Daphnia pulex: one gene and its partner. The protein of the gene in region 2 purifies or fractionates together with the protein of the main gene of each other region. This does not show direct contact. Links are inferred from orthologs where the notes say so. Each region holds a gene or a part of one and is shown on either strand. Other genes may lie near its edges. The genes, in order: serine/threonine-protein phosphatase 4 catalytic subunit and serine/threonine-protein phosphatase 2A activator-like.

What was found.
Region 1: the proteins of serine/threonine-protein phosphatase 2A activator-like (region 2) and serine/threonine-protein phosphatase 4 catalytic subunit purify together in Homo sapiens (affinity purification with mass spectrometry; 3 studies listed by BioGRID and IntAct, with this or other methods). This does not show direct contact. The link is inferred for Daphnia pulex from reciprocal best matches to the Homo sapiens genes PTPA and PPP4C.

What each region holds. Positions count from the first base shown.
Region 1 is NC_060025.1:1,447,669-1,452,161, reverse strand, and holds serine/threonine-protein phosphatase 4 catalytic subunit, read left to right. Parts: upstream 1-1,589; 5' UTR 1,590-1,680; intron 1,681-2,066; 5' UTR 2,067-2,337; intron 2,338-2,470; 5' UTR 2,471-2,488; coding exon 2,489-2,638; intron 2,639-2,698; coding exon 2,699-2,851; intron 2,852-2,913; coding exon 2,914-3,087; intron 3,088-3,151; coding exon 3,152-3,278; intron 3,279-3,346; coding exon 3,347-3,539; intron 3,540-3,603; coding exon 3,604-3,733; 3' UTR 3,734-4,333; downstream 4,334-4,493. Other genes in the region: probable chitinase 10, read left to right, coding at 1-413, 479-1,353. UniProt on the Homo sapiens protein: Protein phosphatase that is involved in many processes such as microtubule organization at centrosomes, maturation of spliceosomal snRNPs, apoptosis, DNA repair, tumor necrosis factor (TNF)-alpha signaling, activation of c-Jun N-terminal kinase MAPK8, regulation of histone acetylation, DNA damage checkpoint signaling, NF-kappa-B activation and cell migration.
Region 2 is NC_060019.1:7,365,014-7,368,581, forward strand, and holds serine/threonine-protein phosphatase 2A activator-like, read right to left. Parts: upstream 2,067-3,568; 5' UTR 1,940-2,066; coding exon 1,859-1,939; intron 1,792-1,858; coding exon 1,591-1,791; intron 1,530-1,590; coding exon 1,312-1,529; intron 1,252-1,311; coding exon 1,127-1,251; exon of another isoform or gene 1,066-1,126; coding exon 773-1,065; 3' UTR 743-772; downstream 1-742. Other genes in the region: ninjurin-A-like, read left to right, coding at 1-27, 116-240, 330-584; calcium channel flower-like, read right to left, coding at 3,130-3,232, 3,293-3,400, 3,465-3,568. UniProt on the Homo sapiens protein: PPIases accelerate the folding of proteins. It catalyzes the cis-trans isomerization of proline imidic peptide bonds in oligopeptides. Acts as a regulatory subunit for serine/threonine-protein phosphatase 2A (PP2A).

The DNA of each region.
Region 1 (4,493 bases), on a different chromosome or scaffold from region 2:
CGCTTTTGCAATCCTGGATGGGAAAACTTACAAGATCAAAGAATTTGAACCTGAAATTGATTTAGGAGAAAATAAATTTTATTCAAAATTCGTCGATCTCAAGAAACAAAACTCGAAATTGAAGACAACCATCGCGATTGGGGGCTGGACAGATTCTCACGACGGAACCACCAAATATTCGGACATGGTGGCCAGCTCGACTAACCGAAGGACTTTTGTCGATTCAGTCTTGGCATTTCTTGACAAGTATAAATTTGATGGACTGGACATCGATTGGGAATATCCGAGTAGTGCGTCCGACAAAGTTGGGCTTGCTGAATTAATGAAGGAACTTCGAGCCGCATTTAATTTACAGACACCGAAATATTCACTCACTATCGCTGTGGGAGTCAATAAAACCATTAGCGACCTCGGTCAGTATTAATCAATAGTGTATATGAAATAAAAAGGTTTTTTTAATACATTTTTTCAACGTTAGGATACGACATACCTGTGTTGGCCACGACAGCTGATTACATCAACATTATGGCTTATGATATGCACGGGCCATGGGAACCTTTAACTGACCATCACGCCCCGCTCTATAAAAGAGATTGGGATACAGATGAAACCAACAATATCGATGCTGTCGTCCAGTACTGGAAAGATAGCGGTATGCCGTCCTCAAAACTCATGCTGGGAATTCCCCTATACGGAAAGTCCTGGACACTCGATTATACTTACACGGAGGATCCCACGCTTCCGGCACCCGGTTTGGGACCTGGAGCTGCAGGACCTTTAACCGGTGAATCGGGAACGTTAGGATACAACGAAATCTGTAATTATGTGAAAAACGAAAATTGGGAGGTGGTGGTCGATCCGACATTCCAAATCGGTCCATACGCTTCCACTCCGAGCGTGCCAAAGACTTGGGTTGGTTACGACGATCCCGTCATGGCCAATGTCAAAAGTCGCTACGTTCTGGAGAGGGGACTAGGCGGAGCCATGGTTTGGGACATGAGTACCGACGACTTTAGGAACACTTGTGGTGATGGACCCAATCCTATTATGACCAACATTTCACGAACTGTTGGGGTGACGACATCGACTACGACGACTTCACCGGCGGCGACCACCAAGACTACTACAGCCAGCACCTCGACGACTACGGGTGAGACAACGACAACAACGCCAACAACACCCCGTCCATCCACTACCAAACTGTCCACTTGGCCAAGAGTCACGACGGAGTCGACACAGGCTACGAGTTCGAAAACGCCATTCATACCAAACAATGGGCACCGAATTGCTGGCAATAGTCAGCAACTTACATTTTTGGCTTTCGGGTTTATTTTAATTAATTTAGTTATCTAGGACGTTAGAATTCAAATTTAACAATTTTTAATCATTTCTAATATTTTAAATCTTATTACTATATATTCAAAATCTGATTGATTCGGCCCGCAATACACACGAGTGATAATTAAATGTTGTTAATTGATATACTCATTGAGTAAGCCAAGAGAACTCTTATTTTTTTGTTGCAAAATTGCGTTAAAAATGAATTAGAAATTTGACAACTCCAATGTCGATTGAGCGAGTGCCGAGTGGCATTGTCAAGTGTCGAAACAGGAAGTGTTTAAATAAGTAATGGGTTAACGGCTACATTGTAAAGACCAGATTTCCAAGGCTTGAATCAAGGTTGGTTGTATTATGAAAGTCTTTATTGCAAACAAGTAAACGACCGTCAGAAGATCTGTGTTTTGACTGAATCAGAAATGAGAAATCAGCCTGAACATGCCCGTCTCAAGCAATCGATTTTTTTTAATCCAAAGGAATTCTGAGAAATAAAATATCAATTGAATGTCAGCGTTAGTTAAGGTCCCGTTTGAATAAACGAAACCCATCGTGACCATGTTTTGGTAGCAAACATCGGGCTGAAGGCCGACTGACGTCAGAGAATATTTCAAAATTGATAAATAATGTATCGAAATATTTTTTTTACTAGCGTGCTAGCGATGTTATCTTTATTTGTAAATTTTTTTTCTTACTAATAATATTACCAGATATTTGTAAATCATTTTCAGAACAATATCGATATTTCAACAAAAAGGAATAAAAAGCGCGCTTGAAATTAAAACTGCGGAGAAACTTGGCAACGCCGAATAATTTAATGGCGTTTAGATTGAAGCCCAGTTTTTTTGTCCGGCAACGTAAGGCAAGCCAAGGAAGTAAGGATAGCTTTGAAGAACGACGAGGACGGATTCAATTCGTGGCTTAACTCTCGATCGTCAACTTATCCAGTCACGAATTCATTCTTCGCCATCACCACTCATATTTCATTAATAACGCAAAGAGGTAAAGCTTTTATCTTATTCTCGTTCTGTGTAATGTCAGTTTCCTCATTTACCAAGTCAATGTGTATGACATCACCGGTCGGCTGTTGCACATACTCAAGGTCGTTATTCTTTATTTCCCTCTCGTCAACTAGGAAACAGACAACGTAAATATGTCAGACTTTAGTGATTTGGATCGACAGATCGAACAACTCAGACGGTGTGATATCATTAAAGAATCAGAAGTCAAAGCCTTGTGTGCCAAAGCACGGGAGATTCTGGTTGAAGAAAGCAATGTTCAGCGTGTTGACTCTCCTGTCACAGTAGGTTTCTCATAAGCTTTTGATTATTGCTCAATAACTAACATTTTTTGCTTGCTTTAGGTTTGTGGTGATATCCATGGCCAGTTTTATGATTTAAAAGAACTTTTTAAAGTGGGTGGGGATGTTCCAGACACAAATTATCTATTCATGGGAGATTTTGTTGATCGAGGATTTTACAGTGTAGAGACCTTTCTTCTCCTATTAGCTTTAAAGGTAGTATACATTTTTGTTAAGCATTTCTTTCTCTTGTTTCTGATTTGAGATTTCTTTCTTAGGTTCGTTATCCAGATCGCATCACTTTGATTAGAGGGAACCATGAATCACGTCAAATTACCCAGGTTTATGGTTTCTATGACGAATGTTTTAGAAAGTATGGTTCAGTCACTGTGTGGCGCTATTGTACTGAAATTTTCGACTACCTGAGTCTTTCAGCCATCATTGACGGCAAAGTATGCTTCCAGTAGTAACATGCATTGATAAAAACTCTAACATGACATGTTTTTCAAATTTTAGATATTCTGTGTGCATGGTGGGCTATCTCCTTCAATTCAGACACTGGATCAAATCCGAATAATTGACAGAAAGCAGGAAGTTCCTCACGATGGACCTATGTGTGATCTCCTTTGGTCTGATCCTGAAGGTAGGAAAATAAATATTGGCTATACTTCTGAAAGTGGTAATTCATTTCTGGGTGTTTGCTTTTGACAGATACACAGCAAGGATGGGGAGTGAGTCCACGCGGTGCCGGTTATCTTTTTGGCTCCGATGTTGTGCAACATTTCAACACCTCAAATGACATCGAAATGATTTGCAGAGCACACCAGCTTGTCATGGAAGGCTACAAATGGCATTTTAACGAAACGGTGCTGACGGTGTGGTCTGCCCCCAACTACTGCTATAGGTTTGTCTTAATTTCCCGCCAGATTTCACCAAGATGATTACTTAAACTTTTAATATTGCAATAGGTGTGGAAATGTAGCTGCCATTTTGGAATTGGACGAAAATCTCCATCGAGAATTCACGATTTTTGAAGCTGCCCCTCAAGAGACTCGTGGCATTCCTTCCAAAAAACCTCAAGCCGATTATTTCCTATAAGAAACGCGAAATGTTGATCGTTGATATATCCCCTGCGATTTTTTACAAAAATAATTATTCGGTAATGCATAAAACAAAAAACACAAAAAAAAAACAGTAACTGATGTGAGATACCCCATCAGTTGAAACAGAGCAAAAGAGCCTGTATCATGTTGGTTGACCATTTACCTTGACCGCCCGGACTAACAAATAGGTTTTTGAAAATTCTGTTCTGTCCAATCCCTTCCTTTTTTTTGGTAAACACAGTCTTGTCCTTTATAATAAAAATATATCTTGATCGTCCAAACAAGTGTTCAGTTTCCCTTTTCAACTTTTTGCTGCAGGATATCACATCTGACTATAAGCTACTCCCACTACTCAGTTTAATGAACAATATCTTTGTGTACGTGCGGTTATGGTATGTTGGGGGCGAATTGTGTGACGTGTGTAATTATTTTTTAACATCAGTGCTAAATATTGATGCAATGGCCATGCTTCCAAAATCTTTTTTTTTTTGTTTGTGTTGCACCCATTTATATTATTATGAATGTGATGCTTGCGATGGCTCTCAACATGCACTGTATACAATTTCTTGAAATAACGATGGACTTGAGACGAAAACATGTTTAGTGTACCTGCATTAGTTTCGAAAACAAGGCTCGATGTTTACTTTCTCAACATTGAGTCATAACGGCTATTCATTTTTACGATCGTTTTTATTATCACCGCTGTCCCGAAACAACATTGCGTGATGAATCAGCTGATAAGGTAATATCGTTGT
Region 2 (3,568 bases):
ACACTACCAAAAAGAACATCGCTCAAGGTGAGATCATGCAATTGAAAATTATTTCAGAATTAGACGAATGAGAATTGTATCCATATTCGGCGTATCTTTATTTTTATTTAACAAGGTATGATGGATATCGCACTGCTGACGGCCAACGCCAGTCAATTGAGGTATGTCATGCGATCTCCCTATTGGGATATCTACCATCAAGTGAACATCGTACTCATTTCAATCAGCATCGCTCTTCAGGTATGTGTATACACTTGGATGATTATAAAAGAATAACGGCTTTATTAGAGACCTAATGTTGAATTATTTGGACGTTTAATGTTTCACAGATAATAGCTGGTATTTTGCTCGTTTTCATCAGCCGCTACGACTACAAGAAAAAAGAGACTAGAGACGTAGCGCAAATAATGGGTGACGTGATCGTTATTTTTATCTTTGCGGTTACCATTGTCAACATCTTCATCGCTACTTTCGGGGTTGATGACGAGCGAACTACATTCCTCCGCTGGAAGCAAGCCTCCACCGATGCCTCATCCGAACCGATTCACATGAGCCCTGTCAATTCATCCCTTGTCCGCCCTTAAAGTCCCCTTACATCCCTTGTCCGCGAGCCTTTAAATTATTTCAATTAGCAATATACACACTAAATTTCATTTGGAATTGGAAATTATATTTGATGAAACTATAGACGAACGTAAAGAAGAATCAAAATTTAAAAAATGAATTTTTTTCAAGAGGAATATTTGTAGTTTCATGCAAATGTGTTGTTCGTTTATTGTTTCTGCAGATTTGCTTCCGTAATTGGTAAAAGAGAACCAAAAAGAACATGCTGCATGACAGGGTGTTTGGCCAAAACTTCTGCTTTGTACATTTTAATCAGACCTGAATTTACTTTCGACCAAGTTGCTACCCCACTGATGTTCCAGAGTTGGTTCGAGTGTTCAGCAAACGGCCCGTTTTTCACCTTGAAAATAAATTTGATACAGCCAAGGAACATGTAGTCTTTGGCAAAACATTCGACAATGTCCTGATTAGGAAAAGATTTGGGTGGCAACCGCTGATTTTCTACAAAAAGATTGACTTTTAGTTTTGAAATATTTTTGCTATTAAAAAATTGTAACGATACCGATGAGTTGAGAACTTCCCCAAATAAAAGGGACGAATTGATAGTCGTCTAAGCTCCAAACTCCGTGCGAACCTGCTGGTTCCATACGATAAATTAACTGCAGTTTTCGAACCAACGACATATACCTGTTACAAAAACTGCCATTTATCACAACTGTAACAGATTTAAGGTAAAAAATCAGATACCTATCAAATACAACAATCCCTGCAGCAGCTTGATCACCAAGGGTCAAGAAACCAATTTTGAAAAGGCAGTACAAGAAAATGACAAATGACATTTCATGTCCTGATCCATAATCAATTCTTGTAGAATTTCCCACACATTCAGTTAAATAGACTTCTATTTCAGGAATTGTGTAGTGTAACTCTTCAGGTAAAATATCTTTAAGGATATTTGAGGATTCCTATTTAAAAAACATGTTCAGTGTTTCCTCATTATGTTCAACTTACTAACAGGTAACTTACATCTTTGAGTTTTTGAGACCACACCCTGAATGATTTGTTGCCAAAGCGCTGGGGCTGTTCAGTTGGGGGGATTTCATCAATCCAACGATCCAGGCAATCCAGCAAACCAACCACTTTCACTATTCTGTCGTTCAACTGGATACTCGACGCTTTCTTTCCTTGCACAGCTTCGTTAATGGCAAGAATGAATCCCATGTATTCCTGTATGAATAATTAAAACGTTAGTTTTTAGAACGGTTATTTTATGCTGCACACTGAACCGGCAAACCTGATACGCTTCTGATTTCAGCCACTTTGACATGTCATCAGGATTGAAAATTTCTTTGCGCGGAGCCGTCAACACCTCCATAATTTATTATCAAATATATACCCAAGTAATAATTATTTTCTGATAAAAAGCTTTGTGATTTTGAGCTGTTTCGAAAAGAATAATTTTTTGTTTTCTTAAGCTGGTTTCTGTTGTGATGTAACACTGCCACCTGGCGTAAATAGTAAAAACTTGATTGAGGAAAAATGAGATTTTGAATCGTCAGCAACCTGCGTTCCTTATATTAGCAAGGATCCAACTAGGGTAAAGGGCTGTTTGTGATTTTTGGTTTCATTTTTAAAAAGCAAAACAACACACCAAAAGACCAGATAACACGCAAAAATTTTCTTTTGTTTTTCGATTGCCTAACCTGTGTTACCTCCTATCGTGGTTGAAACAAATTCAAAATGGCAATATATCGACCCCAAATTTCACGGGGATCATGAATAATTGGATATCTACTTTGTTTTGAAGCTGAAAGTAGCTATCGCTTACTTCCAGTCTACTTCCGGACTATTTACATTGAACCAGCAAATGAGTTTGCTCTCTGTAGAGATATCAAGGTGTTCGTCTAAAAGCTAGTATTTAAAAAATGTATCTGCACTAACGCTTACCTCTAATGTTTTAGTTTTTAGAGACGATTTCGAGGATTCCTGTTTTAGTAGCAATAACTATTTAAATTACTATTTTAGGTCATAATTAGAATTACGGACACCATTCAGTCTCGTCATGACCGACGTTCTTTTAAACGAAAATCGGGGACTTGGAGTTGTGATTTGCTACAGACATTTAACTCGAGATACATTAGTTTAAATTATAAGTGTACATCTTCCCTTCTTTTCTGTGGCCCAGTCCGTGGTTAGTCACGCTTCCACTGTGATAACCAGAGAGGTTGGGAGGGCTCTGGTATAGAACGGGATTGATTTTTTTTTAAATGACTAAATAATGAACATTATGGGCAAATAAAGCTTAAGTTATTTGCTAGCTAAGAGAATTACTTGTTTCCATTACAATGAAACTTTGAGTTTTGCACACAACTGTATTCACATCAAACACACATCGGAATGCTAGTGCCACAACAAACTGACAAACAAGTCATTTCATGCTTGACACTTTCGTGAAGTACACTAATAAAGGGTTACTAAGCGAGCTAATTCACACTCAAATAGCGTCCTCACGTCAATTTTTCTCATCACGTTAAATAAAACCATTATAAATCTAGCCGTAATTACTTAGGGAACTGACTGGTTGGGAATAGGGACTTCCATGTTCTTCACCAGATTAGTTGCCAAAAAATCTGTTTGGGCACGGTTTAGCATTTCACCTCGACTAGCCCTGGACAAAATAAAAATTATCAGTATAATAAAATAACTAAGCAATGTAATCTATCTTTACTTTTTCCCAAGAGCCATGAGACCATAGACAACTCCAGTTGCAAACAACATTGCACTGCCAAGGAATGTTGACAAGCCAGCACAAAGGAACATTGCAGGTAGTGATATTCTGAAATAGAGAAGAAAATATGGTGATTTTACTGACAAACAACACACCATTACTATATACTTACAATATGTAGAAGCCTGCCTTATGCCATACAGGTCTTCTATCAATAAAATTTGTAAAAGTTTGAACAAAATCCAAAAACATGCAGCAACAGGGTGCTTCAGCCAC